Linked DNA regions of Alligator mississippiensis. The protein of the gene in region 2 interacts with the protein of the main gene of each other region in a pairwise test. Links are inferred from orthologs where the notes say so. Each region holds a gene or a part of one and is shown on either strand. Other genes may lie near its edges. The genes, in order: AKIRIN2, SPG21, FAM114A1 and PRPS1.

The links.
Region 1: the proteins of SPG21 (region 2) and AKIRIN2 interact in binary tests that used the Homo sapiens proteins (3 or more experiments, as listed by UniProt). The two-hybrid records come from large-scale screens. The link is inferred for Alligator mississippiensis from reciprocal best matches to the Homo sapiens genes SPG21 and AKIRIN2.
Region 3: the proteins of SPG21 (region 2) and FAM114A1 interact in binary tests that used the Homo sapiens proteins (3 or more experiments, as listed by UniProt). The two-hybrid records come from large-scale screens. The link is inferred for Alligator mississippiensis from reciprocal best matches to the Homo sapiens genes SPG21 and FAM114A1.
Region 4: the proteins of SPG21 (region 2) and PRPS1 interact in binary tests that used the Homo sapiens proteins (3 or more experiments, as listed by UniProt). The two-hybrid records come from large-scale screens. The link is inferred for Alligator mississippiensis from reciprocal best matches to the Homo sapiens genes SPG21 and PRPS1.

The regions. Positions count from the first base shown.
Region 1 is NC_081824.1:75,631,291-75,639,126, forward strand, and holds the start of AKIRIN2 (akirin-2), read right to left. Parts: upstream 3,656-7,836; 5' UTR 3,467-3,655; coding exon 3,253-3,466; intron 1-3,252. Other genes in the region: uncharacterized protein LOC106738238, read left to right, coding at 3,734-4,135. UniProt on the Homo sapiens protein: Molecular adapter that acts as a bridge between a variety of multiprotein complexes, and which is involved in embryonic development, immunity, myogenesis and brain development.
Region 2 is NC_081834.1:6,523,042-6,530,854, reverse strand, and holds the start of SPG21 (maspardin), read right to left. Parts: upstream 3,164-7,813; 5' UTR 3,058-3,163; intron 2,802-3,057; exon of another isoform or gene 2,526-2,801; intron 511-2,525; 5' UTR 433-510; intron 208-432; 5' UTR 182-207; coding exon 119-181; intron 1-118. UniProt on the Homo sapiens protein: May play a role as a negative regulatory factor in CD4-dependent T-cell activation.
Region 3 is NC_081825.1:50,196,814-50,205,042, forward strand, and holds the start of FAM114A1 (protein NOXP20), read left to right. Parts: upstream 1-4,911; 5' UTR 4,912-4,926; coding exon 4,927-5,083; intron 5,084-8,192; coding exon 8,193-8,229. UniProt on the Homo sapiens protein: May play a role in neuronal cell development.
Region 4 is NC_081831.1:42,100,437-42,108,564, reverse strand, and holds the start of PRPS1 (ribose-phosphate pyrophosphokinase 1), read right to left. Parts: upstream 3,628-8,128; 5' UTR 3,469-3,627; coding exon 3,347-3,468; intron 1-3,346. UniProt on the Homo sapiens protein: Catalyzes the synthesis of phosphoribosylpyrophosphate (PRPP) that is essential for nucleotide synthesis.

The DNA.
Region 1 (7,836 bases), on a different chromosome or scaffold from region 2:
CGCTGTTCCCCAGCCTACTTAAAAAGTCAGTGCCAGGAGACCTTGTAACCAGCACAGTCTTTTTTTTGCAATGATCTGCCTTTCACATCTGAAACACAGAACAGAAATTATTAGAATGATGCATTTATAGTTTACTACCCAGAATGCATTTTTCTTTTCAGTAAAGAAACTAAATGTAAAGCCATGCTGATGCGTTCCACTGAGGAAAACTTCCACTTTCCACAATCTGTATTTGCTGAACAGATCTATAACTTGGTTTTCAGATTTCAAGGGAACTGGTATAAGATACAGGAAACTGCCACAGGACACTTGGGCCTAAACCCTGTCCCACCAACATGTACTTATAGACCCACCCACTAACCTGTTTGAAGTATCACAATAAAATGTGAATTTTTAATTCATATTGTATAGAGGTACCCTGAAGATACTGGGATGTGATTATTTATGATTATTTTACCATGTAATTATTTTCCTATATAATCCCAGCCTTTCAAACTAAATTCATACAAAGCACTCACTTCTCACTAACTATATGTACACAAAATAGGGGTACCACATCAAATCTTAATTAGAAAATATGCAACAAAATTGCTAGCAAGTATAAAAATTCTCTCTCCAACTCAAAAAGGGGGAAATATTTTAATAAAATTAAGAAACAAATACATATACTGATTGGACAAAGGTAAATCTTTGTTTAAGCCTCTCTAACAATTTCTTTTAGATACAAAATATTTATGGTATGCAGCAATGACTCAGTCATACAAACCCACATAAAGAATCCGTAAGTAGTGTAGATGAGAAATCCACAAGGCAGAACAGCTGCCAAATCCACCAAGACACTAAAAGCAACCTAAGAGCTGTCCAAATAACCATAAAATATTCAAACACTCTTGTTAAACTGAAATTTCATTTTGATTTGAAGTCTTCCCTCTCCCAAACGGGCATATCATTTATTTGCCTAAGTTTTATATTTAAATTAAGACAGCTGGTATCTAATCTGCACTCCTGTAAACCCAGTGCCCATTCAAATCTATACATTCTGTTTTCAGATAGCATTTGTTTCTGAAGAGACTAGCTAGTATTAAAATATTGAGGGGGTCCACATTCTCCACTAAGAATAGAAGTCACACAGTAGGAAGACTGAGAACAGCAGATAAAAGAAAATGAAATAAACTGCTGCACTAAGGACTATCTAGGAGTATAGAAATAACAAATTATTGTATACGCAGAACTTATTAATGTTAATAGAAATATTTTCATGAAATAAAATAACAAATTCTCTTCAAGTGCTGAAGACTTGCACATAGGTATTTTATATAGGAAACTTAAGTGGAATCAACTAAATTCAAGCCTTGTGAATAAACTACTACTAATGCGGTGTAAAAATTAAAAACGAGCTTTTAAGATTGAATTAGTTTGTTTAAAGCCCAATGAATTATACAGGTATAGATACTATGATTGTTTCTAAAAGCGACTTTTTAAAAGGACAGGGTCTCACTGGAAACATAATCAAGTAAAATGAGGGTAACAATGTCTTTCGTGAAAGAACACATGACTAAATTTAATTTGAAGTATAAAACTTGCTAAATCCCAATATTCACAGTTAGCACTCAATAGATATGCAACAAAAAAGTTCTCATTATGACAGTGCTAGTACTAACAGCTTATGTCAGAGCACACTATTTGCATAAATCCAATTTAAACCAGGCAAGTTGTTTAAGGCTATTCAGCAACCTGAAGGAACATCTGATTCACTACACCTTATCTTTTGCCATTATGAAATAATAATTCACAAAGCCAGCATACAATTGCTCATCTCAGTTTCGTTTTCTGAACAGATCAAACTACACCTCAGCAGAATATCTTAATTTAGGATGCAGTAGTGTAAAAAGCAAATAGTTTAAAAGGCTACCACTGACACTCATTTCTTCAGAGAAATAAAGCCGATGTGCTGCTACAAAATCCAGGATTTAATAATTCATACCCTCACAGAGCTCTATACTATTTTAGACCGTGCCAAATCAAAAACATGAAATGGCTCATTTCTCATCTTGTAAATCAAAGATGATATTTTGAGTACTTTTCAACTAGTTTATGGATGCAAATATCCACAAATGATGCTGACCAGACAAGGAGGCACAGAAATAGGAAAAGGCTCACACATTTCCCCTCTGCTAACCAGAGGTTACCTTTGACACTCCCCCTTAACTACTTCATAAATTTGCCTGTGGGCTGATGTGTTTTTTTGTCATTATTGGATTTCCTCCCTTCCCTTAAAATTTAAGCTATCCTTCTTCCCCACAAGGTAACCCAAGGCCAACAGATGCTGAACATTGCTGCTAATAATACACTGTTGTCTGTAAAGACCTATGAAGGCTACTGCCAATGCACTGCCTCCCCATTGCTAATGTCTGACAGCTACATTCATCACCCCCTTTTGAGCAAAGCGTATTAGTCACAGCACTGTACAGTAACAGCGTTTCTCCTCCTCCTCCTCAACCACACCGGTGCCAAAACCCTCCATGTCCACTTCCCACTGTAAAACCTTCCTATTTTAAGCAAGAATGCCTCTTTTTAAAAGGGCAAGGTGAACTGAGCTCTTCCTAAAGAGAGAAAGAAAGAGAGAGATACACACATCCAGCTATGGTAATTGTCTTATTGTATCAGCCTGTGTCATCCTTCCCCAATAGAATCGCTGCCTGATGCTGACTCATGCAAAATCCTTTCCCAACCTTTTTTTTTTTTTTTAAAGTACAGGACAGCCACGGGGTCAAATGCAAGAAAATGCCTTTTTCCCTGCCCTCTCCCAGGCTGCCTTCAGCTCCACCGCTGCGGGCATTTCCTATACAGCTCTGCCCTCAAGCAGGGCCCAGGCTTTCAGGAGCCGCAGCGAGCTGGGACCCAGGAGGTGGCTAACAAAGGCGGTGACATCCGGCTGGAGCGAGGGGGCCGGGCCCCGGGACAAGGGCGCGGAGACGCCGGGAGCAGCCGGGCGAGACCCCCTCCCTGCCCGCGGGTTTCGCTGCCCCCTCGGCGAAGCCCCGGGGGGGCCCGGCTTTGTTGTCCCCGCCTTGCCTCTGCCCCCCCCCCCCCACATAATGGCCGCGACCCACGGGCGGGCCCGCCCTGCCCCCCTCCCCCGCCCACGGCGCTTCCGCACCCCCGGCCGCCCATTGTGTCCCCGCCGCGGGGGGCAAAGAAAATGGCCGCCCCCCTCCTCTCCCCTCCCCCCCTGGCCGGGCCGGGCCGCACCTGTGGTGAGGCGGGACGACACGTCTCCGAAGGGCGAGGGCTCCATGCGCAGGTATTTCTGCGGGGAGGCGGCGGCGAAGGAGGCGGCGGCTGAGGCCGACGCGGCGGCGGCGGCGGGGGCCGCCAGGGGGGCGCAGCGCCGCCGCTTCGGGGAGGCTGGGCTCAGCAGTGGGTCGAAATCCAGAGTTCGTTTCAAGGTGGCGCCGCACGCCATGGCCGGGCCGGGTCCGGGGCGCGGGGCGGCGGGGCCCTGCCCGGGAGCGCCTTCCCGGCCGGGGGGGCTGCGCGGGGCGGGGGGCGGCTCGGGCCGGGCGCTGCGTGCGGGGAGCCCGCGCCGCCCGCGCTCAATTCAGCCGGTAGGCGGTGGCGGGGGTGCGGCTGGGCCGGCGCGGCGTCGCGGGACTGCGCGGCGGGGCCTGGCGCGGCCGATGAAGAGCGATGGCGGCGGCGCTCCCGTCTATGACTCTCCCGCACCAGCAATATGGCGTCAATAACAACGCCGCCGATTCAAAAAGCACCCTACGCCACTGCGCCTGCGCAGCCGGGGCGGTGGCCGCCGCGCAGCCTTACGGGACTTGGGGTTTTCTGGACCCCGCCCGCGGGCGCCCCGGACGGCCGGACGGACTACAAGTCCCGGCGGCCCCCGCGCGCTGCCGCCCCGACTTCCGGGGTAGCGTTTAAATCCCCAGCGAGGCTGCGGGTGAAAGGACAGGAGAAGGGGGGAGGGGCTGCCTTCCTGGGACATGGCGCTGCGGGCGGGCGGGGCTCGGTCCCGGGGGAGGCACAGCCGGGGCCGGTGCTGGGGCCCGGCCTGGCCACAGCCCCTGGCACACACATACCATCAGGAGTGGATGAGCCAACAGGCCCCCGGTCTGCAACCCTGGTACTAGTAATAAAATTGTTGTTAATAATGATGATTATAATATATAAGTGTAATACACAGTGTATAATATGATGATTATACAAAGTTAATCATAATGTTGCAGACAGCAGCGGAGCATTGCAGCCCGTGTGGATTTAAATCTCCCTGGTGCCCCAATGCCCTTGTGGATTTAAATCCCACCCCCCCACCCCCCGTTTTATGCCTGCTCTGTCAGTGGGCAGGCTGCTTTCCGGACCCAGTCCCTCTGGGACGCAAAAGCTACGGCCAGTTTGGCCTCTGCACCAGCAGGCCTCTGGACAATCTGGGACTCAACACAAGTGAAGGGCTGGTCCGCTGCTGGAAAAGGCCTGGCTAGGAGTGTAGTACCCTCCAGATGATCCAGCGGTGCTCTCACCAGGGAGCTTTGTTCTCACCATGAAGACACCAGGCCTTCTGCTTCCTGAGCATCCAAACCAATGTCGTGAGCCAGTGCCCTGCAAAATGGGGAAAAAGAAAAAGACAGCGGCTACTTAACTGTCTAAGGTCAATTGTCTTATTTCACTAGGGCTGAGAGAGAGAATGGAGGCATGCTAGGCTATGTCCTTGGGAAATTAGCAAAGCTTTCAGAGATGGAAAAGCATTCCTAATAGCAACCACTTGTGTCTAGATTTGATCAGGTTTAAAAAAAAAAAAGTTTTGAGCAAATAGGTTTCAAATGATGAGTGGAATAAAGCTTGAGTCCTTCCAGAACCTCAGTTGGCAGTGACTTTTAGTTATGCAGGCCGAGGTTACCTGATACGTGCACTCACCAAACCGTGACAGGATCATAGCAATTGTAATATACATCTGACGACCATGCTGACCCTGAGTTTGCAGGGTTCCTACCACAATGGGACCAGCCTTGGTTGGATGTTTTTGCATACTGTAATAAAAAGAAATATTTAATAATCGGTGTTCTCTTTGACTGATTGCATGGACAAAGCTATGAATTACTAGAGTAGGCTTTCTCTAACCATGTACAGCCAGAGGAGAATTTCTTTTTTCTGAAGACATTCTTTTTTTCCTGAGGCTGGCTTTGACAAACCCCATTTTTAAACCATGACAAATTCTGATTTTGTAAAACTCTCCGCAAACTGGGGTATACATACCCCTGGGCATATATGGAAAGCTTTTACAAGGTCCAGCTCTTCCTGTGGACACTCTTATTTTACACATTAGAAACATTGAATAATAGCGTTCATAGCAAGTGCTATACTTGCGTGACCATAATAGTATACCAGTAATTATGCTCGTGCTGTGATACCAGATAATTTCCCCATTCAGACAAGCCTTCACACAGGACTTAATCAAATTTAAAAAACTCTATAACCCAAGAACACCAAAACATAGCTTTCTTATGGTGATGGCTCTAAATCAGAGAAATCTTGTCATCTGTCAATATATTTTATATGTCCATCCAGTTTAGGTTAGTCTACATCTATACAGAGTCAAGACAGCCAACTCAATCTTCCTCTATGTTCTGAGAGACTTGTCCACATTTGGACAGCTATTTGAAGTCTCACAATAATTTATATCCTTTAATTTACATTTGGAACTATTATACCTTGTCTTTCTGAGCCAAAAAGCATCTTGTCAACTGAACTAGCTCAGTCCATTTAGCTGAACACAAATCCCCACACCTTACCAGCCACATAAGACACAATTTAACTCCATTGACATAATCTGAGGAGGGTGAAGAAATTTAGTCAAGAAAAACTAATACAACTAAAGTGGAGCTTTTTTGGCTTATGCAGGCAGGGCTGTAGTTAGAAGGAACAGCGAGCTAACTTAACACTTTGGCTATACACAAATGTGCACTGGTTTTAGTTTAGCTAAAGCAATAACATCTTTTTAAACAACCTTTAGCATCAATTTAAATTTGAAGTTATATCTTAAGCTAAACAAGAGAGATGTTGAATGTAGATAAGCCCCAAGGCAGAAAATTATCCAGTAACAGTGAATTGGTTGGTTGTAGTTTAATTATGGTGGAAAATACCTTGGAGTTAGGGCTCTGAACCACTGCTTATATTATTGTTCTTTCATTGCTTTGTTTGTTACAAAAACAAATCTCATTGTACAATAATATATTACGTATTTTATGGTCTTATATATTTACATGTAGAACCCACTAATTTTCTTAACACTGAGCGTAGAGTTGAACAACCTGTTCAAAACTGAAGCCGCAAAATTGTGTCTTTATTAGGTCTGTACTTAAATAACAGTATCTATTGAAAAAGCTACAGTCAAGATGTAGCACAGTGTTTTAATATTGTGTAGTTTTGGAAAACCTGGGGAAATAGTGTATTATATTTAAACAATGGTAACTTGGTTATCAAGCACCCTGAGTGTAAATCTTCTTAGACATTATACTCTTTCCTGTTTTTCCCAAATTTTTCTTTTCTCATTCTGTCCTCCCTTTGTTCAGCTGCCTCAAACTCTATCTAATTTCCTTCCTCCTCTCTTTTTTTTTCTTTTTCCTGCCCTCTTCTCATGCTCTTTGCATCTTCTGTTGGTCTTCACCTATTTCATCTCTGTGTGACTTAGCTCATTCCACACAAGGTTCACATCATCATCCTTCTACTTTAACACACTTTCTGATGGCTGCCCACTTCAGAAGAGGTGTACTGTCTCCAGCATCTCCACCTCCCAACCAGGGAACCTTTGAAGGGTCGAGAGATCCACACCATACAGTGACAATACTAGGCAGTCTTTTCACTGTCTCTGCTGCACAGATTCATAACTTCCAGAATGAGTAGGCCATATGTTCTAAGCCACATTGGCTGCTTCTTTCCCTGGCTTAGGTAGACTCAAGTTAGGTACTGGGTGTGTTGTTCTATGCCAGATTGCCATTAGGTATACTTTGTGATTTTTCTAGACCTGCGGTTGGCAATGTTTTTCAGCAATGGACCAGAATGACCAAGCTCGGGTTGAAGGCAGGCTGGTGCTCGTACCCAGCCAGCACTGCTGCCACTTGTCCCCACTGCCCAACAATGGCGCAGCATAGCTGAAGTGTCAGGCTGCAGCACAATACAGCATTGCATGGGCAAAGCCCCTCACCACAGAATCCCATTGAAGCCTCCCACTGCTGAATATTGCCGAAGCCCCCACTCCATGATCTGGATCCAATGGCCCTGTAGGCCAGATCTGGTCCATGGACCAGAGGTTGCTGACCTTTTTATTAGACAGAGAAAATACAATATATCTAATCTGGATAGAAGTAAGTAATTGATAAGATGCCACAGGGGAAATTATCAGTTAAAATAAAAAGATGGGTTTTAGTGTGAGACTTGTCAAGTGGGTAAGGAACTGCCTGAAAGAGAGGTGAAAATGGGACCCCTGAGTATTAGAGTAATAGAAATGGGATAAAATTAAATTAAAGGAAGTTTGCCTTTATCTAGGAGCCCCTCTACATGTTTACATTTATGCTGCAATTAAAGTGTTAATTGTGATATAAATGATAAGGGTGCATATTAAAATGGCAAATGAGCCATAAAAATATTTCACATATATTTAGAACATTTTCATGGCTGGTTTGCATGGTGCCTTAAATTGAATGTGTGGCATGTCCAGGGCTGCCCCAGGGCCAGGGCAAGCAATCAGTTGATTGTACAATCCTGGCTTTGAGGTCTTGAACTGGCCCATGTGGTCCTGGGGCCAGGGCCAACAACCAGCTGATGGTCAAC
Region 2 (7,813 bases):
TCCAGCTCACAGCTCCAAAACATTGCTACCACTGGCTTAGACAGTTCTCAGTACTGCACAGCACGGTCCTTGTGAAATAAGGCTCTATTTCATAACAAATTATTTAAATTGTACCTACCTTTTTAAGAGGAACTGTACTTCTGAACCAGTTATAGTCAGGAGAGACTTTAATCTCTCCCATGATGTTTAGATGAAACTTAGGTAAACCTGAAACAAAGATATGGCATCTTTTAGGCAAAGAATGCAGGTTCGCACTAAGCCACTACACTGAAGCCTTGTATATACAAAGAGTCCTTTCATGATGAAATTTGCTTTTACCTCTTATCAGCTGGTTTCTAATGCATGTCAAGTTTGGTTATCCTTAGTTTTAATTAGAAGCTACTTAAAAGGTATTCAGAAGATACAATCACTAGAATGTTTTAATATACTAACCCTCTAATTATGAACTGATGGAGCTTTCGGGGATAAAAAGGCAGCTTTTCCTTACAGACCATTCCAATGGAGCAGCTCCTGAAAGGGAAAGATAGTATTTCAGGGTTTAACTTGTTTTAAAAAGTGGACATTTTTATCATTGCTTCTATTCAACTTTAAACAGTTCAGAAAAGGGGCTATAAATGCCCACGTATTTCATGCCTTGCCCTCCAATTATTCAAGTATATAGGACACATGCTCTAATTCAACTGTAACTAACATAAGCATTTCTTGAAAGCAAGCTTCAACACTACCTCCATATTACTCGATACCTGTTCTACAGAACAGTCAAAGCTTCAGGGCATCTCTTCACAGAGAAGCCGACCAAAACAGCAACATCCAACAGTTGTTCCACATAATTAGTGTACTTATTCCAAAAAAAAAATTATTCCAGAAAAATAACTGTTTTCCCAGCCAAAGTAATAATTCTAAAATTAAAACAGAGTTTATTCCAGAAGTGTCCACACACGGAGCTTTATTCTGAAATAGCTATTGTAGATGGACTATTCCCACTACAGCCAATTCCCCCCAGACAAAGAAGCATTAACAAAATTACCCATATATTGAGGTTTCATGTTCTATATAGGACACAATTTGTTTGCAATAATGAAATCAAGACTAGCCTAGTGAAACGCCATGGCACTGATAGATTAAGCACTTTTATTTGTATACCAAATAACACTGGATAATTCTTAAAACTGGGGCTATATTCTGACTGCTTGTAACCTGTTGCTTGAAAGGGAAATTCTGCCCCAGAGATTCATTTAATTTCACAGTGTACAGAGCATAAGAAAATAAGGTGTTTGCTCTTTTAATCAAATATTCAGATATAATTAAATGGGTACTGACTCTCATTTCTAATCAGAATTGTCATATATTCCACTCAATTTCTCTCTGTAGACAAGACCCTAAATGAAGGAAATTCACCTCATCTGTTCCCACCACTATACAAAAAAAGCAATTAAGATACAGCTCTTTTGAATTCAATCCCAGTTTGCTAGTTTATAAACAGATGGAACAAACAGTGAAGAAACACTTACTAGAAACATGAAGTACATGCCTCTTACCTACTATTTTCCAAACTGCAAAAAGTATTTCATTTTCACCACATCACAAATATTTCCAGATTGGGTGAGAATCTCACCCTACTGGGTTGACTGGTATTTCAATTTTGGATAAGTTCCTGCTTGCGTCAAGTATTTTACCACTTGTGCTAGCCTGGCAGCGCATAAAAGTTAGTGGAGAGCAAACACCGCCTCCAGCCAACAGACTGGCGAGTGAAGCAGGCTCACAATATTACTGGAACGGGAGGACAGCTGGTCATTAGGCAAAAAGAAGAGAGCAATTTGTTCTACTAAATCCCCTGCATAAGTCTGGATTAGCCACTACGCAAAAAACAAACATTTTTGGAAACAACGCTGCAATAATATGCTGCAGAAATTGCGAAAGCAAGCAAAACACACACGGACACCTTAATGCAAGAGCAGTGTATGCTTCACACTGTATTTTAATTTATTATATAGCTGTGGCCAGAAGCCCAAGTCAGGATCTGGGTCCCACTGTGCGAGCACATAAGCAAATTCTTTAGAGAAATGTAAGGAAGCATCCGTTTAGCTCGATGACAGGACTGCGCGCTAAAGAAATGGTTTCATTCATCACAGGATTGAGAGCCAATTCCAGCTCTTCTCCGCTCTCCCTTCTCTTGCTGCCAGTGGTTGTATTAGTGCCATTAATTTAAGTGCAAGGCATTAATTGGCAACCTTAGAGACGGAGTTATTCTAGAGAACAGGACTGGAACAAGCATTTTTCTTTACCATCCTCATGGTCTCACCAATGTACCTGAACACCAACCTGCAGGGGCCCCTTATAAGACTCAAAAGAAACAGTCTCCACACCTTTAAACCTTGGGCTCCTACCAAGATCGTTACCAAAAACCCTAATTGGCATTAGCTGTGGTTTGTCTGAAGCAGAGAGCTACCTAATACGAACCAAACCCAGACGGCAACTACCACACACCGCAAACCACTGCCCCTTGACTCGTGCTCCCATCTTACAGCTATTTTGCTCCGTGCTCGCGCTCCTTCCTATTCGTCTCTGTGCACCGCTACAAAACAACGTCGGCGATAGGAAATTCAATTCCTGCGAGGCTCCTGCGCAGCGGCGGCGGCGCAGGCAAGTCTCCGCAGAAACGCAACGTTAAAAGCCTCCTAGGTGAATAACCATCACCATGAAAGCTTAACCACGACACTTTGCTGGTTATCCGATTTCCCAGCTCATTCAAAGGCAGGGAACATAACGCAGGGAGCTGTCCAGGATGGTGCCACGCACGTCTTTAAAAAAAACCAAACAAGTTTTAAAAACCAATTTAAGGAAAACACTGGCTCTTTGTCTAGGTCCCACAAGCCACGACAGAAATTACACGGGCGCGCGGGCAGCACAGACCCCCCACGCTACCCCTGCCCAGCCTGTGCCCGCGTCCCCACAGACGGGAGACAGCGCCTAGGCAGCCCTCGGCCCAGCCCCGGGCCCAGTGCCCCGCCAGCCCATGCCCATCCCCCACCTTGCCCAACCCCCATGCCGCCGTACCGGCTCCCCCTCACGGAGGAGGGAGTGGGGGGAGGGGAGGAGCGCTCCGCTCCGGACCGCGCTGCCTGCGCCTCCAGCCGCGACTTCCGGGTACCGCCTTCCCGCGGAGCCACGCGCCGGCCACGTGACCACGCGCAGGGGCGGGGCGAGGCGCCGGGCCGCCATTGTTACTGAGGCACAGCCCAGGAGGGGGGAGAGTGCGCATGCGCACGGGACTGGGGCGAGGCGCATGCGCAGGTGTGGCTGTTGCAGGTGGAGCATCATGAAGGTACATCACGAGAGTGGTGTGGGGCTCCTTCCTCTCTTTTCCTGGCGTCTGAGCCTTCAGGGTGTGCCCAGGGTTTCTCAGTATGCTCAGGCTGTTGGGTTTTTTTAAAGAAAATGAAGTCTGGTCTTCGTAGTGCTAACAGGACTCGGAGAGCTGGGGTTGTGGGAGACCGCCAAGCAGCGTGAGGCCTCCAGAGAGCGTCCTTGAAAGCCTGCCCCTTTCCAGCGGCATTTTACCCCCTGGCTAAAGTTCATTGCTGGGGGGCGACAGCGGGACGCACGTGGTCGAACGGCGGCTCACCGTCGGGTGCCTTGAGATCCTTCCCGGGGTGCCTCGGGGCGCCACAGACCGTTAGCGCTGCTAGGTCACGATTCACGAGAGAAATGCTGTTTGCACGCGGGGATCCAGCGTTAACCATCCTGACCAGTTGCGGGGTTTCTTGATTCTTTGCAACAGGGCAATGGCTCTTGTTTTTCTGTAGTCAAACGAGTGAAAGCTAAGAGCTGGCATTTTCTGTGGGAGGCTTTGAGCCTCTGGAGGGGGATCTCGAGTCTGAAAAGGTGGAGAACCGCTGTGCTAAAATTCAAGGGCCAAACTCTGCTCTCCGGTGCAGACTTGCAGCTCTAGTATTGTCAATGGAGGTATCTGCCCGCTTGATGCCACGGGTTTGTTGGTTCAATTTTTACAAAAGAAGCTGATGAAAGTTATGTTTTTCTCGTTTGCAAGCTGGCCATTAGGGTTTAGATCGTGATGAGTAGAACTTGATGTTTTTCAGTGAATTTTGGCTGGTCCATAGGCCGTATCTGTCCTGGTGTGAGCTGGCTCCAGTCACCTTATCTGATATTGGATGGCTGCATAGTTCAAAACTACAGAACTGAGATGGCAGACTGGTTTAATTTGGAGGCAGTTGTGCTTGGAAAGTGGACAGTGGATTTACATTCTCCACCAGGAATGGCCAGGACCAGGGAAAAAAAATGTCATTGACTAATTTTATAGAGCAAGTGTATGTGCAGCTGTTGTGGCATAAACCCACCAGATGGCTCTATCTGGAGAACTGCTCTCTGTTTTAAAAAAAAACACAGTTGAATACTGTTGAAAAGTATTTAATGTCAAGAAAAGAGGTGTCTACAGAGAACAACTCTTCCCTCAGCCATGGCTACACATGTAGAAAGCCTCAAATAAAATGAGATCATACTTTGGAGATTACAGGACTGAAAAGAGTAATAAAATAGTGTTATGTCGCCTTTTCCCTGCTCCATGCACATATCATTTTGAACTTACCCATGCCCCTAAAGGGAATATTTGGATCTAAGTTTGTAAACCAAAATAGCTTATTGCTAATACAAGTTTTGAAAACTGTTTCTTGAAGGGGTTTGTTTTGTTCGGGTTCTTGTTCTGTGTATGGAAAGGAAAAGTAATGAGCTGTTACTGTCACCTACCAGGGGGAAAAAATCACAAATGCAGTATGATAAAACTGAAGTCTGCGATCTCTTGAACGCTGATACACTTGCTGAACTTTTCACACAACAGTTGTCCTACTGACTTCAACAGTACTGCTCATTGTATATATGCTATTCACATGTGCAAATGGTCACTGCATTGGGGTCCTGGCTTATATGATGCATTTCATACAAATTCTCTCTTCAGACATCACACTGGTAGCTTTTCTACTGAGGACCTCTGCACTGTTTGGTGAGCTGGGCCTGTGTAAAAAATATATTCCGTAATACCCTGTTATATGTCAAGGAAAATGGTCATAGCTACGAAATAGGGAGATGTATCCTTCAATGCAACATCCCTGAAAAGGCTCTAAGATTTTAAGGGTTATAGTGGACAAGCAACTCAATGTAAGCATCTGCTATAATGTAATAGCTGACAGGTTTAAAGAAGCCAGACTCAACAATGACATATCTTTTCTAAGACACCTAGGAGCACACAACACCAGCAGACTTTCCTTATGCCTGAAGAGAGGTGTTTGTGCCTGAAAGCTTGCAGGGAACAATTTTTACAACTATTTAGTTTGTCTATTAAAATATATCACATTTACCCAAAGAACTTTGTATTCTTCGATCCATGCACAGGAGAGTAGTGAGGAGGATCAGGAAGGGTGATTTTACCTCTCTAAAAGGTCATATAAGCTTTCAGCTTGAAAATCGCTCTAGTAGAGTTACCAGGTCATTGACACATCCATGTTGAACTGTTTAGGTAGAATAAATAAGGCTGAAGCTAAGATCTCTGCCTTTTCTTGATTGCAAGTCTTCTATTTGGATATTACATGTTAGCACTATTAGATCTCTTGCTTATATCTCAGGGAAGCATCCAGAAAGGGGGATTATGTATGCCATGTCATTCAAAATTCAAAATATTTTTTTTCAATCAAATACAGAACAAACAACTGTAGAAGAACGTTACACAACAAAAAAATGAACCAAGCCACCACAGTTAAGTTGTTCAAGCCAGCAGAATGATGGCAATAGGGTTGTAATGGTGTTTCTGAAGGGAACTGCTATGTTTTGATTTTGGATCTCTTCTCAGAAATGTTCTGTTCTAGTGTTAGGCAGAAGGCAGAATAGAGCTAAGGAGTAACTCAATCAGAGATGTGTAGCCTGAGCTTTTGTGGGACTGAGCTCACTTCATCAGCTGCCGTTGTTAACACTGGGTTGCGGTGATTTTGTTATTTTTTAACTTTTTTTCCCAAGCTTGGCAGGAGCTGGCTTCCTTTGCAGCTTCATTTTGTACCAATTTTTTCCCTCAACCGTGGTCTGCAGTGCCTCAAGCAGTCACTAGTAGCTTGCACTGACAGTCAATGGTCACTGCTGTGGGGTAAGGATTCTTGTGGAAGAGATCTTCTATTGGACCAAGTGCATGACACAAATTAATTTTGTCATAAGAAACCATTAGTGTCCAGGCTGCAGATTCACCAGGCTGGGAAAGTCATGGTTATTATGTATGTTGAAGAAGTGAATCAACTGAACACTGACCAGTTCTGGTCCCCACATCTCAGAAAGAATATAGAACTGGAGAGGGTCCAGGGAAGTTTGGCAATCAGGATCATGAATGACAGAAGCTGGCAGTGGTCAATCTCAGGGTCGGGGGGCACATGCCCACCTGTGCCCCCTTGCGTGTTGCCTATAATCAGGATGATCAGTGGTATGGAGGGGCTTCTGGATGAGAAGAGAGTAAAGAGGCCAGGCCTATTCAGTTTAGAAAAGGGGGGACATGATAAAAGTGTACAGGTTTCCCTCGCCAACCGCTGGGGTCAGGTTCCTGAAAGTTCCCCCTGGTTGGCAAGACAAAAAGCGCATGGGAAAAATGGCAGCCACAGCCACGAAAAACCGTGGTTACTTGAAATACTGTGCTAGCCAAAATGGTGTGTGTATATATATATATATATATATATATATATATATATATATAATATAATATTAAGTGTGGGTACTCAAAATCGTGGTTGGCGAGGGAAACCCGTAAAAAAAAAAACCTAAACGGTGAAGGGAAATGAAATAGGGACTTAATATTTATTCTCACAACACAAAAACTTGGGGTCGCACAATAAAACTAGTAGGTTGTACGCCTAAAGCTAACACGAGGAAGTTCTTTGTCACCCAGCAGCAAACCAAGTGCGGGGCTCAGCGCACGCACAGCTTGGGGCTGACTCAGCGCTGTGCCCGCTCGGCCACGTGGAGGCTGCAAGCGCTGAGTCACCTCTCGCGACCACTATCAGCGCTTCTCCCCGCGCACACGTTTGACCCTCGCGCGCTCCCGTCCAGCGGCCCACAACTCCCGGCATGCAGCGATCCCGGTGGCCCGCCATGCCCCGCGCCTATCCTCTCCCTGCCACGGCGCCTACGCGCCCCAGAAGGCTTCGCGCGCAGGGCCAAGCGGCCGGCGGGCGCGGGGCCCCGCGCGGAGCCTGCCGGGAGTTGTAGTTCTGAGGGGACGGGACGTGAGGTTCGTGACGCCACAGAGGGCTGGGCGAGGCGACGGGAGGTGTTTACTGGACGGGCCTAGTGCGGCGGGGCCGCGGGCCGCCGGCGCCATGTCCGGCTGTAGCACCTGCGCCGCTGCCGCGCGGCTGCTCGGCTCCTCGCTGCCCTCGGCGCACAGAGGTAACCGCCCCGCGGCCGCTCAGCGCCTCCCGCGGGGCTCGGCCTCGCCCCCCCCAGGGCTGCGGCCCCTCCGCCATCTTCCCCCGGGCGGGGGCCTCGTGGGGGGTCGCTTTAAACACCTCTGCACGTTATTATTGTTATTATGGGCCTCATGGAGGGGGTCGGTTTAAAAATCTCTGCACTTAAATATTATTATTATTATTATTATTACTGAAAAACAGTTGCAAAATTATTCTTTGTAAGCTTCCAGGCACAACCCCCACTCCCCTCTTCAGGCATCGGGAGAGCCTTTTTTGGAGCATGTGGTTCTTAACTTAAGGGCCTGCACCGTGTATCAGGGGCTGCGAAATCTCAGCTAAACCTTGCACAAAGAAGCCGA
Region 3 (8,229 bases), on a different chromosome or scaffold from region 2:
GAACAGTCTCGAGACGAGGGCCACCGAAAGGGGTGGTGTGTTACCGCTGTGGGCAAACCGGACACATCTCCCGCGAATGTGGGGAAGGCCTGAGCGAGCTGAGTCGCACCCCAACAGGATATCCACCCCCCCGGGATAGAGGCAAAGAGGCAGAGAGAGGGGAACCCATGGATTGCAGTTTTGGGTCGGCAACCCAGAGGGAGGGATGGAACCGGCCCGTAGTAACCGCATGGGTTGGAGACAGGGCGGTTAAGGCCACATTGGACACGGGGTGCTCCCACTCCCTACTTCGGGCAGACCTCGCTCCGCAGAGGGAATGGAAGAGTGAGGGGCCCCTGACGATGACCTGCATACTAGGGGGGGAGATGCGGTTCCAGACTTGCTATGTTCCGCTTAGGGTGATGGAGTTTAGCGGAGAGTTGCGGGTTGGAATTGCCCCGACCCTGGCGTGTGAGATGATACTAGGCCGAGAATGGGGGCCATTCTATACAGTCCTCGAGCGAGTGAGGGCTATGCAAGAGGAGAGGAACCGGATCAAGAGGGGAGACGGATGGGCCGGCGAGGGCCCAGCCCGTCGCAACGAGACAATGGCAGACGGCATCGACCTAGAACAATTCGTGAGCGCGGCCCAATTTCTTAGGGCACAACATGAGGACCCGGAACTGCAGTGGATGTGGGACGCTGATCCCGGGGAAGGACCCTCACAGAGGCGTCCCCGCTTCGAGGTAACAGGGGGACTATTATATCGGGTCCACCGGGGTGAGGAGGGTACCATACGGGGGAGACAGTTAGTGGTCCCGTCCTCACTTCGCCAAGTGGTGTGGAGATTGGCCCATGACTCACCCCTGGGTGGCCATCTGGGACGTAACAAGACCCGGGCGAGGCTGGCCCAAGAATTCTTTTGGCCTCGTCTCCAAGAGGACGTGGAAAGGTGGGGGGCCGCATGCCCCGAGTGTCAGAGGGCCCAGGAATGGAAGCCCCCAAGGGCACCCCTGAAGCCCATGCCAATAGCAGAGACACCGTTCTTGCGGGTCGCCCTGGATATAGTAGGACCCCTCCCCAGGTCACATAACGGATACCAATATATCCTGGTGATGGTAGATTATGCCACCTGTTTCCCAGACGCCGTGCCCCTTAGGTCCATAACCGCCACTCGAGTAGCGGAAGAACTTCTTAAGTGGATAGCGCGGGTGGGCATACCTCGGGAAATACTCACAGACCAGGGAACAAACTTTATGTCTGGGGTAATGAAAGCTTTATGTAAGACCCTTGGCATCACCCAGCTAAAGACCTTGGTCTACCACCCCCAAACTAATGGTTTGGTAGAAAGGTTAAATGGGACCAGCAAGCGGATGCTCAGGCGGTGCGCCCAGGAAGACCCGCGGAGGTGGGATACTATCTTGACACCCTTGCTGTTCGCCATAAGGGACGCTCCGCAAGAGTCAACCCAGTACTCTCCGTTTCAGTTGGTGTATGGCCATAGCCCTCGGGGACTGCTACAAATCGTAAGGGAAGAATGGGAAAAGCCAATAGGCTTGGGGGTGTCGGCGGAGAGGTACCGGGAAGAGCTACAAGACCGAATCTCCATGGCCCAACGGATCTCCAGGCGAAACCTGAGGGACGCCCAAGGCATACAGGAAAAGCGTTAGAAGGCGAAAACACGGACTTTCCAGTCGGGGGACAAAGTTTTGGTATCGCTGCCAACTTCCTCCAGCAAACAGCTGGCCATGTGGCAGGGGCTATTTACCGTGGTGAGACAAGTAGGACCCGTGGATTACGAATTACTTAAACCAGGCCACCGCCGGGAACGACAGATTTACCACGTGAATCTGCTCAAGAAGTGGAAAACTCCTCAGGGCTGGTTGGCCCTAGACGGGGATACAAAGGAGGACCTGGGACCGCCGTGTCCCTGGTTAGGGAGACCCGGGGAGGAGGGGTCAGTACAAATGGGCAAGGAGTTGGGCAATCACCAACAGCGAGAATTAGTAGCTCTGATAGAGGAATTTAGGGCAGTGTTCCAAGAGATCCTGGGACGAGTAACGGGAGTAGAACATGAAATCAGGACACCTCAGGGAGCACTGGTGAGGGAGAGATGGAGGCCGATACCTCAGCGGTGGCAACGGGAAATACAGCAAGAGATCATGAGAATGCAAGAACAAGGGATTATACGACCGTCCCGCAGTCCATGGCGGAGCCCCATAGTCCCCGTCGTCAAACCGGACGGGTCATTGCGCATATGCATAGACTACAGGAAGCTCAATGCCCTGACTACGTTTGATGCCTTTCCGATGCCCCATGTCACTCACCTCATGGAGAAAATCGGTGAAGCACAGTATATAACCACGCTTGATTTGGCAAAGGGATATTGGCAGATCCCGATGCGCCCCATGGATTGTGCCAAAACAGTCTTCGGGACCCCGTGGTCCAGAACAGCCTTCTCTGACCAGAGAAATCCAGGGCAGCCTAAGGGCCAAAAGGGGAGCACATAAAAAGTGGAAACAGGGTGAGATCACTAAAGATGAATATACCTCCTCTGCTCGTGCTTGTAGGGAGGCAGTTAGGCGGGCCAAAGCTACCATGGAGCTGAGGATGGCAACCCAAGTAAAGGACAACAAGAAATTGTTTTTTAGATATATTGGGAGTAAAAGGAAGGCCCAGGGAGGAATAGGACCGCTGCTAAATGGGCAGAAACAATTGGTGACAGATAGGGGGGACAAGGCTAAACTCCTCAACGAGTTCTTTGCCTCAGTGTTCCTAAGTGAGGGGCACGACAAGTCTCTCACTGGGGTTGTAGAGAGGCAGCAGCAAGGCGCCAGACTTCCATGCGTAGATCCTGAGGTGGTGCAGAGTCACTTGGAAGAACTGGATGCCTTTAAGTCGGCAGGCCCGGATGGGCTCCATCCGAGGGTGCTGAAGGCACTGGCCGACATCATTGCAGAGCCACTGGCGAGAATGTTCGAACGCTCGTGGTGCATGGGCCAAGTCCCAGAAGACTGGAAAAGGGCTAACGTGGTCCCCATTTTCAAAAAGGGGAGGAAGGAGGACCCGGGCAACTATAGGCCTGTCAGTCTCACCTCCATCCTTGGTAAAGTCTTTGAAAAAATTATCAAGGCTCACATTTGTGAGAGCCCGGCAGGGCAAATTACGCTGAGGGGAAACCAGCATGGGTTTGTGGCGGGCAGATTGTGCCTGACCAACCTAGTCTCTTTCTATGACCAGGTTACGAAACGCCTGGACACAGGAGGAGGGGTGGATGTCGTATACTTAGACTTCAGGAAGGCCTTCGATACGGTATCCCACCCCATACTGGTGAACAAGTTAAGAGGCTGTGATGTGGATGACTGCACAGTCCGGTGGGTGGCAAATTGGCTAGAGGGTCGCACCCAAAGAGTCGTGGTAGATGGGTCGGTCTCGACCTGGAAGGGTGTGGGCAGTGGGGTCCCACAGGGTTCAGTCCTTGGACCGATACTCTTTAATGTCTTCATCAGCGACTTGGACGTGGGAGTGAAATGTACTCTGTCCAAGTTTGCAGATGACACAAAGCTATGGGGAGAAGTGGACACGCCGGAGGGCAGGGAACAGCTGCAAGCAGACCTGGATAGGTTGCACAAGTGGGCAGAAAACAACAGGATGCAGTTCAACAAGGAGAAATGCAAAGTGCTGCACCTAGGGAGGAAAAATGTCCAGCACACCTACAGCCTAGGGAATGACCTGCTGGGTGGCACAGAGGTGGAAAGGGATCTTGGAGTCCTAGTGGACTCCAAGATGAACATGAGCCGGCAGTGTGACGAAGCCATCAGAAAAGCCAATGGCACTTTATCGTGCATCAGCAGATGCATGACGAATAGGTCCAGGGAGGTGATACTTCCCCTCTATAGGGCGTTGGTCAGACCGCAGTTGGAGTACTGCGTGCAATTCTGGGCACCACACTTCAAGAAGGATGCGGATAACCTGGAGAGGGTCCAGAGAAGGGCAACTCGTATGGTCAAGGGCCTGCAGACCAAGCCCTACGAGGAGAGACTAGAGAAACTGGATCTTTTCAGCCTCCGCAAGAGAAGGTTGAGAGGCAACCTTGTGGCTGCCTATAAGTTCATCACGGGGGCACAGAAGGGAATTGGTGAGGATTTATTCACCAAGGCGCCCCCGGGGGTTACAAGAAACAATGGCCACAAGCTAGCAGAGAGCAGATTTAGACTGGACATTAGGAAGAACTTCTTCACTGTTCGAGTGGCCAAGGTCTGGAACGGGCTCCCAAGGGAGGTGGTGCTCTCCCCTACCCTGGGGGTCTTCAAGAGGAGGTTAGACGAGTATCTAGCTGGGGTCATCTAGACCCAGCACTCTTTCCTGCTTATGCAGGGGGTCGGACTTGATGATCTATTGAGGTCCCTTCCAACCCTAACATCTATGAATCTATGTGGGGCCTATTCGAATTCACGTGGATGCCCTTTGGCCTCAGCAGAGCAGCTGTGACGTTCCAGAGGTTGATGGACAACCTGTTGGCACTGCACGCAGCGTACGCGGCGGCGTACATTGATGACAACTTTATATTTTCCGCCAGCTCGCAACAACACCTCCAAGACCTCAGAGCAGTCCTGGGAGAACTCCGAACAGCAGGGCTGACCGCCAACCCGAAGAAATGTAAACTACATTTAAAAGAAACAGCATACCTAGGATTTCGAGTAGGCCGAGGGACAGTGCGGCCACTCACAGATAAGATTGAGGTTATAAGGCAGTTCCAGGAACCGCGAACCCGCAAACAACTGCGTTCCTTCTTGGGACTCGTTAACTATTATCAGCGATTTATACCCTGCTTCGCAACGCTCGCCACACCACTTACAGACGCGTTGGCTGGGAGATCCGTAACGCCACTGAAATGGACACTGGGGATGCGAAAGAGCTTCCAGAGTTTGAAAGAAGCAATGCGCCATGACATTGTCGTGCACACGCCTAACTTTAACGCCCCTTTCGTTTTACAGACGGATGCATCAGGACGGGCGCTGGGAGCAGTGTTACTCCAGAAACACGGGCAGGAGGAGCACGCAATTGCCTTTGCCAGCAGGAAACTCAGCCAGGCAGAAACCAGGTATGCCACCATCGAGAGGGAATGCCTGGCAATACGCTGGGCAATAGAATACTTTAAGTACTACCTGATGGGGAGGGAATTCGTGGTAGTAACAGACCACGCACCACTACAGTGGTTGACACAGAAACAGAGCATGAACACCAGGATCACCCGCTGGGCTTTGGCATTACAGCTATTCAAGTTCACGGTGATACACCGTCCTGGCAGAGATAACTTTGTGGCTGACTTCTTGTCCAGGTGGGGAGGCGCAGACAACGCAGAGGAAGGTACGGGCCACATCCACAGGGAGGAGCAGCAGGTGACACATGCTGTCACGAGAGAAAATCAGCCACCACAAGGCAACTTAAGAGGGGAGGACTGTGGCGGCGAAGTGCCCCCACAGGCTAGTGAGGGAGAGAAGGGGGGACCCACAGACCCCAGACCCCGAGAGCAAGCCCCCAGAGGGGCATACGTACCGGCTGAGGAGCAGCGGGAGGAAGAGCCGCATTCGCGGCTGCCATTACGCCGGCTCTGGCAACAGCTGTTCCCGGCACAGCGAACAGCTGAGCCAATCTCAGCGGCCGTAGCGGCCGCTGTGGGAAGGTTTAAAAATGCCGGCAGGACAGGGAGAGAGGGGGAGCCAGGGAGAGAGAGTACGGGTGTGCTGCCCGTGCTGCGGGCTCTCGCATGGAGCGGAGAGGACCCAGCCTGCGGGTCTCAAGCAGGCAGCTTAGACAAGAGCTGGAAGCCTTTCGCAAACAGCAGAGCGAAAGGCAGTCAGAGAGTGCAAGCCGAGGCAATCTCTCTGCATCCTGAAGCGGCTGACGCTCAGGAGGCAGGGGAGCGCTCTGCTGACGGTAGGAGAGGGGAGACAGCAGAGGCTCCAGGAGGGAGCTGGAACCAGGGGGAGCACCCACCAGCTCCCCCTAATTCAGAGGAGTATTTTCTGTAAGAGAGGAGAAAGGAGAAATCCCTCCCAGCAGGAGGGAGGACGACCGGGAACCGGTGAACCAGTCAGAGGCCATCATACTGGGCCTGGAAACATCTGGAACGCATCGCCCAGCAGTTGGCGTGTGGACGGGGTGTAGGGGAGGCGGAGCCCCATGGATCACCACGGCCGACAACCGTGAGTAACACTGTCTATCGGGAGGCCCCACCCAGGATAAAGACCTCCACTGTAGACCCCTCTGAAGGTAATTGATTACATCCAAGTCGTGGCAGGCGAGTTGAGGGGAGGGGCAACACCCCGATAGGGCAGGTGGAGCGAGGCACAGGCTCCACACCATCACTGATGGTATAACACACAGCTCACTTTTGGTTCCATACAAAAATTACTTGGTGAAATGTTATGAGTTAGACTCACTAGATAAAGGTGGCCCCTTTTCTCTGTAAAATCAACACATATATTCTATCTGCCTTCTTCCTGATTGTGTTCTCATCACAACTCAGTTGTTTTGTGCAACTGCTCGTCAGCTCTGGACCTCCCTCCATCTTCAGGTCTTCCAGAGGCCAAGCCTGAATATCTTTTGGAAGCACTGCATGACCTTCCTACTTGGGCTGGCTTTTACTAAACAAAACTAGGATAAGATGTTGTTCAGAGGGTGTCTGTTTTATCCTAGATCCCTTTTAAGTTGTTTTGGTCTTCATGTTACTCGCCTGTTTCTAAGTTATTGTTTGCTTATTTTAAGGTGCCTTGAGCCTTTGTTGGGAAGGGTGGTATATAAAAATTAAATAAATAATCCTTGTCAAGGAAAACAGAGACTGCCATACTCTAGTCACATCACATATGCCTCTGCATAGTTAATAAAGATTATAGTAGCAAATGAAGGAGGAACTTAATTTTAAGTTAACCAGTGTGTTTATTGTCTTTCCTGTGTCTGTCTCATGTTTTAAATTCTGAATAATTTTTGTGGATTTTTTTTACCTTTAAACTTAGTTTTCAATGTACAACAATCTCTTGTGCTTACTAGGCCTGATTCTGATTTCATTCCTGTGGGGCTAGCGTGGGCATCTCTGGCAATGTGTGTGTGGTGCTATGGTGAATTTTTGCTTCTTGGACTCCAGTCTGCTCTGTAGATTGGACCTGTCTACAACAGAAATTAGAGTAGACTTGTGACTAATTGTACTTAGGCAGCGCAACTCTGGCTGGCTGTCTAGAATACAGACTTGTCTGGGCAATCTCCCTCTCAACTCTGCTCCCTAAGCATTCTTAAAGAGAGCAAAAAGCTGTATAGAGTGCTTTTTAAGGAAAATTTACCTCAAGGGTCAACTTAGGGCCCATTTACAACTGATGCCGTAATGTAAAGATCCTTCACAAGTGCAGGAACTGGCCTTTAGTTCTGGTTTTCATCACCATGAGTAAAATCAAAATCAGACCCACTGCAAAAGGGATTTTGCTAGACCTGAGAGTCGTCAAGGTACTTTTAAGAATGGATTTGCATAGACAGTTTTACAAATCAAAATACGTTTTATAGCAAATATGAATATTCAAGTAATATTTGAAAATGCTTGACAGAAATATGTAATAGTATCATGGTTCAAAGTTAAAATAAAAAAGATAGGAAAAGAGAAAAGCCATATTTTCAGATGAGATTGAAAAAATTATGGAGTGCAGGTGAGGTAGGCAGGTCCTAAAAACAGTGTTCCAGGTGGCAAGGGTTACAGAGATGTTTTTTCCCCACTTAAATTGGTGAAATAATGGGATAAGACCCAGTGGATACTGATGCTAAACAAGGAGGAAGATGAGAAGGAAAGAAAAAAAGATGTGTTTGATCTATGGAGCATGCTAAATCTACAAGACTTCTTTGGAAATAGTCGGGGTTCAACGATCTATACTGACCTTGCCCACCTTATCTCTTGTTGACAGTAATTGGCATTCCATCAATGCCAACTATGGATGGGGGGCTATAACTGGCCCTCAGAAATGAACCTTCATGATTTCTGTAGATAAAACATGTATATTTGTAATATACACTTACATTGTCTCTCATTTAATTCTTACCATGCTGCATACCTGCAAGCATTGGTGAGTAAAGCTGCTTTTTAGAATGGTTCTGTATCATTTAAGTGTTTCTGGAATTTGTAATAACTGAGTAGTTAATTTATATATCTGTGCTATTTTTTTAAACAGAAATAAAAATGTCTGGTGACACAAGTGATGCAGTACC
Region 4 (8,128 bases), on a different chromosome or scaffold from region 2:
TTGTACCATATTCCATTACCTGGGTTAGCTTTGGTGACTCCTTTATTAGTATGGGTTTACTGCTTGTTTGCTGTCTCTCCCAGCACTGCCCCCATGTTCCCTCTCCCCACTCATGTCTTTTGTACTATAATTGCGCTCTCCTTATACTCGGCTCTCTGCATGTCCTTTCACAACAAAAGCTTGGGCTGTACTCATCTGTACTTACCTCTACTTTGGTTAGTCTTTAAGGTATAAGACTACCTTGCCTTCTGTCAGGAATGAACAACAGCTTTAGAGACATTAATGGGGAGACCTGCACCAGCAACACTGTGGGAAATAAAGCAGTAGCCCCTACATAAAACCTGAAGTGTGGGGCCAGGTCTTTGTAGCAACAGATTAACGAATGGAAACTCTGACAGGGCTCAGTTTAGAGGACAAGCCAGCCTTATCATCACCAAAGTTCCAAACATGTAGCATGGGTGGAGGAGGAAATGGGCTGACTTCTCTCATCATCTTGAAATACCAATGTTCTAGAGGTGTCTTTGCTGTTTGGCTGCCCTAGCATAGGTTACCACTAATGGATAAAGAGCAGCAAGATCATGCAACTTGTGCTGATATCAGTTTCATTTTAGAGACTGGGGGAGATTATTTTAACAGAAATTAATTTTTCTGTCCATCTCCCTCACCGATCCCCAAACTGTCTGCTTTTAATGCCGATCTTGCACCAAGGGTTTGGTTGATAGAGCTACACAAGAGCATTTATAGCAGCAAATAAGTGATTTTGCCAATAGAAGTTATCCAGATTCCCCCAAAAGAATAAGTTAAACCAGTAAAAGGACTCTCTGTGTCACTATAGTTATATACACTAGCACTTTTATCAATACAGAAATGACAACAACAATCACACTCAAGACTGCTACACAGGCCAAAGTTTCTAGCGTGGAATTAACCTAAGACACTTTTATTGCTGTAAACTTTAAAATCAGGATAAGTCGTGGGATTTTTTTTGGTAAAGCCCAAGGAAGTATTGACTAAGTACCTAATCTTGCCTTTCCAAGTAAACCTTCGCATTACAGCCAAGGAAGGAACAGGATCAGTGTTAGCTCTTGCATGTTCAGCATTATTTGCTAACATTAAGAGTCTGACCAGCCAGCTGGATGGATAAAAGTGCATGATGAATGGTTGTAAGGTCACTGTAATGACATCAGCTGTAGTTTAGTAAACAGACTCCTTTGCAAGTCTTATCTAAACCATTTTGCCCTACTCATTGGGTTTTCAATTACAGCATATATTTATGCAACGGAAACATATGCAATGTTTTTCCTGATGTAGTATTACTGCAGTCCCATGGACAGGAGGATTCTATCCATAGGAAGAAGTAGTTGCTGAACACGGTAATTATTGTCATGTGAACAGGCTACGCAGAGAAAAGCAACACAGTGATTTCCTACTGTTCCAAACCAAGCTTTTTATCATGGCAAGTTAACCGTGTAAACCCGGTTCCCCAAACTTAGGCCTGGCTTCTTCCAGCAAGATGGAGATGATAGAGAATATATATAAGAAATTACTAGGAACTGCATGTCTCATGGTACAAATAGGCACCAAAGAGATGCAAACTTCCTCAAACTGTTTTCACGGGCTGCTAAATGACCAGAAAGCTTTAAGTGTCAGCACAAATCTGTTTTAAAAGCTTGGATTCTCTAGAATAAAGTTTCAATTTTTCATTGTCAATAGTCCAGGCTTTTAAAAATAAAGAACTTTAAGGCATTTAGCAACTGAAAATGAACTGCCCACATTCAGTTCACAGGGTGAACCCTTAGTTGGTATACTGGCAAGCAGGCAAACAGACTGCTTGCCTTGGATTTTTTACTTTAAGTGGGTAAAAAAATCCACTTGATGAATTCCCATTATCCTATCTGTAATCCAAGACATTATGAACCAAACTGGTTCTGAAATCTTGGTAGTAGGATACTGGATGATATCCTCTTTGTTATAGTCAGGGCTCTCCAAACTGCAGCCTTTGGGCTCCCAGGTACTGCTCCCCCTATTGTTCCAGCTGCAGCAGAGGATCCAGGCTTCCCCTCTGTGCCCAAAGGCACAAGATGGTACAGCATGAGAGTCTGCATGCCAAGGTTGCCTGAGTGACATGAGCAGTGGGGGAGCCCATGGCTGAGGAGTGATGGGCGAGTCAGGACACATGCTGCAGCAAGGAAAGGTGCCTGGGCACACAGTGAATCAGCAGAGTGGCATGTGGTGCAACACTGTGGCACAGTGCAGTGGGGGGTGGGGAAGAGGCAGGTAAAACTTGGATTCCAAACTCTGCTGGGAAAAGGGAGACCCAGGTTGGCAAAGACTACCATCACATTGATGGTCTGTGTCCCCACAGAGGGAACCCCAAAATGGTGAAAAACAACTGCATTGTCCTAAGAAGCAAAGAGGGATCAGGGGATGGGGACGGGCCCAACAACTTTCCCTGAATCTGTGGCTTCAGGATGGTTAGCCAAGATGCCATTAAACCCATGGAGGAAGCTCACCTCATTTTTTCTCTGCAATACTTATTTTACGACCAAGTAGCAAACTTCCAACAGGGCTGTTCACACTTTTTTGAAACTTGTTATAGTAACAGCTAGAAGGCAGAGTGCTTTATTGAAATGTTAAAACCACTGAACAAATGCCTGGCTTTCAGATTAACCCTGGGACTAGCAAAACATCCTGACATGCTCCTGTAAGCATATCAGAACAGGCCTGTCTTTTGTAGCTGAAGTGAGGAGAGAGGTTCATGGCTGCAGACCCATGGCCTCCACCCCAGTCCAATCTAACTATACATGATGCGCCACAACCCTCATGCTTCACCTTCTTCAGAAGCCTCTTCCCTGGGGATTTAGTTACCAGCTCCCACGCAGCAAGATTCTTTGAAGCAGCAGCTGCCAGCGTTTCACCACCTGCCGCCCCACAGCCAGGGGAGGGAGGACCTGCCCCCGTCTCTCTCTGTCCTCAACCCCTAACTCAGAACAGGGAAGCCACCAGGATTTGGACGGTGGCAGAAGAGGCTGGCGACCAACGGGGCACTGCTAGTCGCCACAACTGCATCATCCAGGGCTGCTCCAGTTCCGGCTCGCGGGCCCAATGCGGCCACAGCTCGGGCCGTTAACACTCCTCACCCCGCCCCAAACACCGCGACGGGCCAGGAACCAGGCCTGCCCCCCCCCCGTGCCCAGCGCCATCCCGGAGCGGGTCCGCCACTGGGACGCCGGCACTGGCCACAGGCACAATCCGGGCGAGGCCCAGGGCCCGCGGCCCCGCCCCGCGCACATGGCCCCGTGCCGCCCTGGCTGGGAGCTGCAGTCCGCGCCACCCCGCGGCTCACCACGTCTCCTGGTTGCTGAACTTCTTAGTGACCACCTTGCCCAGCTCCAGGCCCAGGCGGTCGGCGATCTTCTGGGACAGGTCCTGGTGCGAGCTGCCACTGAAGATCTTGATGTTGGGCATGGCGCCGGCCTCACCCTCCCGCTGCCGCACGCGGGGGCGGGGGCCGGCTCCGGTTCCAGGCTCCAGCCGCCGCCTGCTCGCCGCTCGGGGGAATGCAACTGCACACTGAGCCAGCGCGTGCCTACGCCGCCATTTTAGCCCTTCCCGCCGGCTGCGCCGCCCCCCCCTTTATCACTTCCCGGGCCTGCTTCCGCGCCCCTCCGCCCGCTCCCCATTGGCCGTGCGGCTTCAAGAGGCGGGCTCAGGCCGAAGGGGACGCTATCGAATTGGGCGGGGATCCAAGTAGGCGGGGCTTGAGCGTCTGCCTCAAACTCGCGCCCCGCGGCCGCCGCGGACGAGGGATGGGGTCTGGGCTCGCGGATTGGCTGTGGGGAGGATACGCTAGCACTGTCTCCCCGTCTCTATCCGGCGGCACGTGTAGGCTGCGCGGGAAGGAGCGGGCAACGATTGGCTGCCAGCGAGCCCCGCTATTGGGCAGCTGCGAGCCTCGTTCCGGCATGTGGGGGCGGGACCGAACCAGGGCCGAATCCAGGCGGGGCGGCCAGGAGGGGGCAGCGCCGGGCCAAGGGCAGTCTCCGTTCGCGCGGCTCCTCAGCGGCGGGGAGTGAGACGGAAGCACCACTAGGAAGCCGCCGCCCCGCGCCGAGGCATACAGTAATCTTCGTATTTGTACAATAATTTCAACCCTTGCACGGTATAGGATCAATAATAGTAGAAGCGTTCAGAAAACAGGATTTTTTTTTGAGGCAGTTAATTGATGCGGCATATGCAAAACCCAAGCCGCTCTCAAAGAATCTTAACTTGCTTTTGCATTTGCTGTCACCTCTTTTTTTATTCTTGCCCTGAAATAAACGCTTCCACTTCGAGACCCAGTTCTCACTCACTCACTGGGAGTTACACTGAGCAATACAGAGTAAATAAAAACACTTATTTGTATGTGTTTTCAGTTTATGATAGTTTTTCAGTAAATACGGTAATTTTGAGCTTCCAATAACACTGTCATTTCATATTTAAGACCTGGCAAGGCTGGCTCCAGGTGTGTATCCAGCAGCCACTTGCCGCTCGGGCACCCGGGGTCAGTGCCATTGTGCTCAGTGTGGGATGCACGTCCCGCTGCAGCCGCACTGTAGCCTGCCTTGTCTGGTGGGAAGAGGCGGGGGGCCTGCACCATTGGCAATGTGTAGGGGGTGCACGCGGGTGCATGTGCACCCCTGAGCGTGTTGGTGCACCCCCTACAAAAAGGCACTGCAGACACTGCCAGCGGTGCCTGTGGGTGGTCGTTGCTCATCACTTCTCCCCTCCCCCTCGCGGCTGACACTGCCAGTGGCGTCTGCGAGTGGTTGCCAACCACTGGTTGGTGCTCGCCACCCCCTCCCCCTGCCGCTGACAGCGCCGTGGCCACCTGCGGAAGCTCCCTGCTTGTCACAACCACGCTCCTACCACCAACAGTGCTGCCACTGCCTGCGGGAGCTTGCCGTGCCCCTTGCAGCCTCCAGGGGTGTGTGGCATTCGTGGGCTGCAAATTGGTGATGGCAATGCCCAGTGCTGCAGCCCAGCCCTGGCCCCTTTTGGCTCAGCCGTGTGGCAGAAGTCACGGTCAGGCAACAGGAGCAATTGGCTCCTTCCTTAAACTCCTCTTAAATGAGCTTGGCTTCATGCACATGTGGCACCAGCCGATGGCCTCCACAGCTGCCAGCCTGGCTGAACCCAGGGCTGTAACAGCAGCCCTGGGCGGGAACACAGGTGTTTGTGGAAGCTAGTGCGACAGAGGAGCCGCTGAAACAAACTAAGCAAAGTCAAACCATTTGCAATTTTTTTTCCCAATCAACTTTTGCTGCCAGCTGACATGTAGGAGTTGTCTAGCTGCCAATGTCCAACTAACCAAATGGCAGGACTGGGGTGCTGGAGCTGTGCCAGTCCAGGGTATGTAAAAGAAATGAGGATTATGTTTTGTGATAGCTTTTATTGGACTAAATTATGTAAAATCGTAGTCATGGAGAAGTGGGGCTGGAAGGGACTGCCAGAAGTCATCTAGTCCAGCCCGCTGCATGAGGCAGGATCATCCCTATCCCAACCATCCCATACAACCATAATCTAAATTCTATATAAGACAACCATCAACCCTGCCACAACATGAACCCAGCACCCTAGCCTGACACAGGTAAAGCAGGGGAACCACAGCAGCCAATGTCCTGCTTCTATAAAATGTCAGTATGTGCTTAAGAGACCCCGGGTAGAGGGCCATGTCCCCCCACTAAGGACAAAGGCAGAAACCCCCCCCAATTTGTTCCTTTATCTGACCATGGGCTAAAATTCCTTTCTGAAACCAAAGATGCTGACTAGATTTGAGTGGAGGAGCAAAATCCTCTAGCCAGGAACCTCTGGTTTGGTCCCAGCAGGACCATTGGCCAGGGCTGGATTAACGCATAGGCAAACTAGGCACATGCCTAGGGCCCTGAGCTGCATGGGGTCCCAGTCCTTTGCTCTGCATTGGCGATGCGAATGGCCTGTCTGCCTCTCTTCCCTTCCTTTCCCTTTCCCTCTGCCAGCCTGGCTGCAGTGGTGGCTGCTTCCTAGCGGTGGCTGCAAGCCCCACTCCCCGCAGGCGGCAGCGTCGGGGTGGGAAGGGGGGTCTTGACTGGCCCGGGGTCCATGAGTTTGTTTGCCTAGGGCCCACTAAAGGGGTAATTTGGCCCTGGCATTGGCACATCCCAGTTGAAGTCCCAGCCTTTGGCTGTAGCCAACACCCAGTGCCTCTGGAAGGCTTAAAAACACCCTGACACATGTAGCAGAAAAGGTGGTGCAGGGGACAATCAGCAAAGACCAGAAGCCTGGCAAATACCCATGGTAGAACATAGGCATAGCTACACCTAGATCATCCCCAAGCAGCGGCTGTCCAACCCCTTCTTGAACACATCCAGTGATGGGGAGTCCACAACTTCCCTGGGCATCTACTCTACTGCCTCACTGTTCTAACAGTGAAGAAGTTTTTTCCAGATATCCAATCTACACTGACTTTGCTGCAACTTCAAGCTATTGGTCTGCATCCTCCTCTCTGCAGCAAGGGATAAAAGGTGTTTTCCTTGTCCTACAAGGCAGCCCTTCAAGTATTTTAAGACGGCTATGTCCCCTCTTAAGGGCCTGTGGTGCCTCTAGTGGGCGGGGTGAGTACCGTACCGTCCCCCTTTACCGGAGCTCCCCGCAACTCTCCTGCCATGACTTGTTGTGAAAGGAGGAGATTCAGTGGTATTCCTCTTCTCGGGTGACCCGGTGACAGAGGTACTCAACATTTGCACCGTGGTGTTCCTCGGGGCTCTGCCTCCCCTACATCCTATCCCCTCACTGACTGCTTTGGGTGTTAGTATCATTGTTTCCACCATTCCCTGTGAACCCCTTTTACTAGGGGGGGTTCGGTTTCAGCTTTGGTGCCATTCAGTTGCCAGGATGTCAAGGCATCTGGAGCCCCAGACCCTGATGCCAGAGGGCTGGGCTCCTGTTATCTCTCTTGTCTCTCTCTCTCCTTGAGAGAGAGAGAGGCACTCTTATGAATTCCTGAATGCAGGTGGGCAGGGACCAATCATCCCCCTGCCTAATGCAGAGACGCTGCTCCCCCTGCTCCAGGTACAGGTGCAGCGCCTGTGGCAACACTCCTGCCAGCCACTGGAGTCTCTGCCTGCCCGACGTGCTCCCTGCTGGCTTTCTCCTTCTCTCCACCCCACCTGCCAGCTTCCATGAACTTCCCACAGCCCAGGGTTTCCCCGCCTTGGGAACAGCTGTTTAAAGAGCCAGTGTAATGCCAGCTCGCGCGGCTGTGGCTCCAGTTCCAGCTCTGGCTGCGCTAAGAAAGGTGAGTTCCCTGAGGTGGGGGGGGGGGTCTGTGTGTTCCCCGTGGGGGCTCTTGGGGTTTTCCCCAGCCCCCTTGATACCTGGGGGGCTTCTTGTCACCACAGGGCCTTTCTGGAAATTGAACATGACTAGCTCTTTCAGCCTCTCCTCTTATGACTGGCCTTCCAAGCCTTGATCATCTTTGTTGCCTCTGCACCATCTCTAACTTTGCCATATCCTTTCTAAAATGTGGAGCCCAAATCAGCTCCAGTGTAACCCCTCTGGGTTGTGAGGGGTCAGCAGAGAGAGGTTGGGCTACTCAAAGTCCAGGAAAACCAGAGCCCTGGAGTGGAATTGAACTATGTTTCCCAATCTGCTTTGGGAACTGGCAGGATGATGCAAGAATACTACCAATGGGAGGAGTAATGCGCAGGGCTTACCAAAAGCCCATGAAAATGAGAATATGGGGAGGGGTTGCAGGAAGGGTGGGGAGGAGAAAGGAGCTGAAAAAAGGGAGGCATTTTTCCCCAGGGCTGGGATGGACTGAGAAAAAGAGAGGAGTTACTCCCTGACTTGAGAAAGAGGCTCCAGGGAGATTGTGGAGGAGTCTGATCTGATTGCAGCTGGGAGAAGGAATGACTTCCCCACAGAGGAGACCTGAATGGAGACAGAAATTGATCGTGGCTATAGATCTGTACCTGAGTAGGCGCATCTACTTGTGCACATTTACTGCCTAGTAACCGAAATTACCAAATAGTACAGGCGCACATCTACACGTGTATGCCCGTACTGCACAGTAAATATGGTGACTTTCAACAACTTGAATGTAAATTTG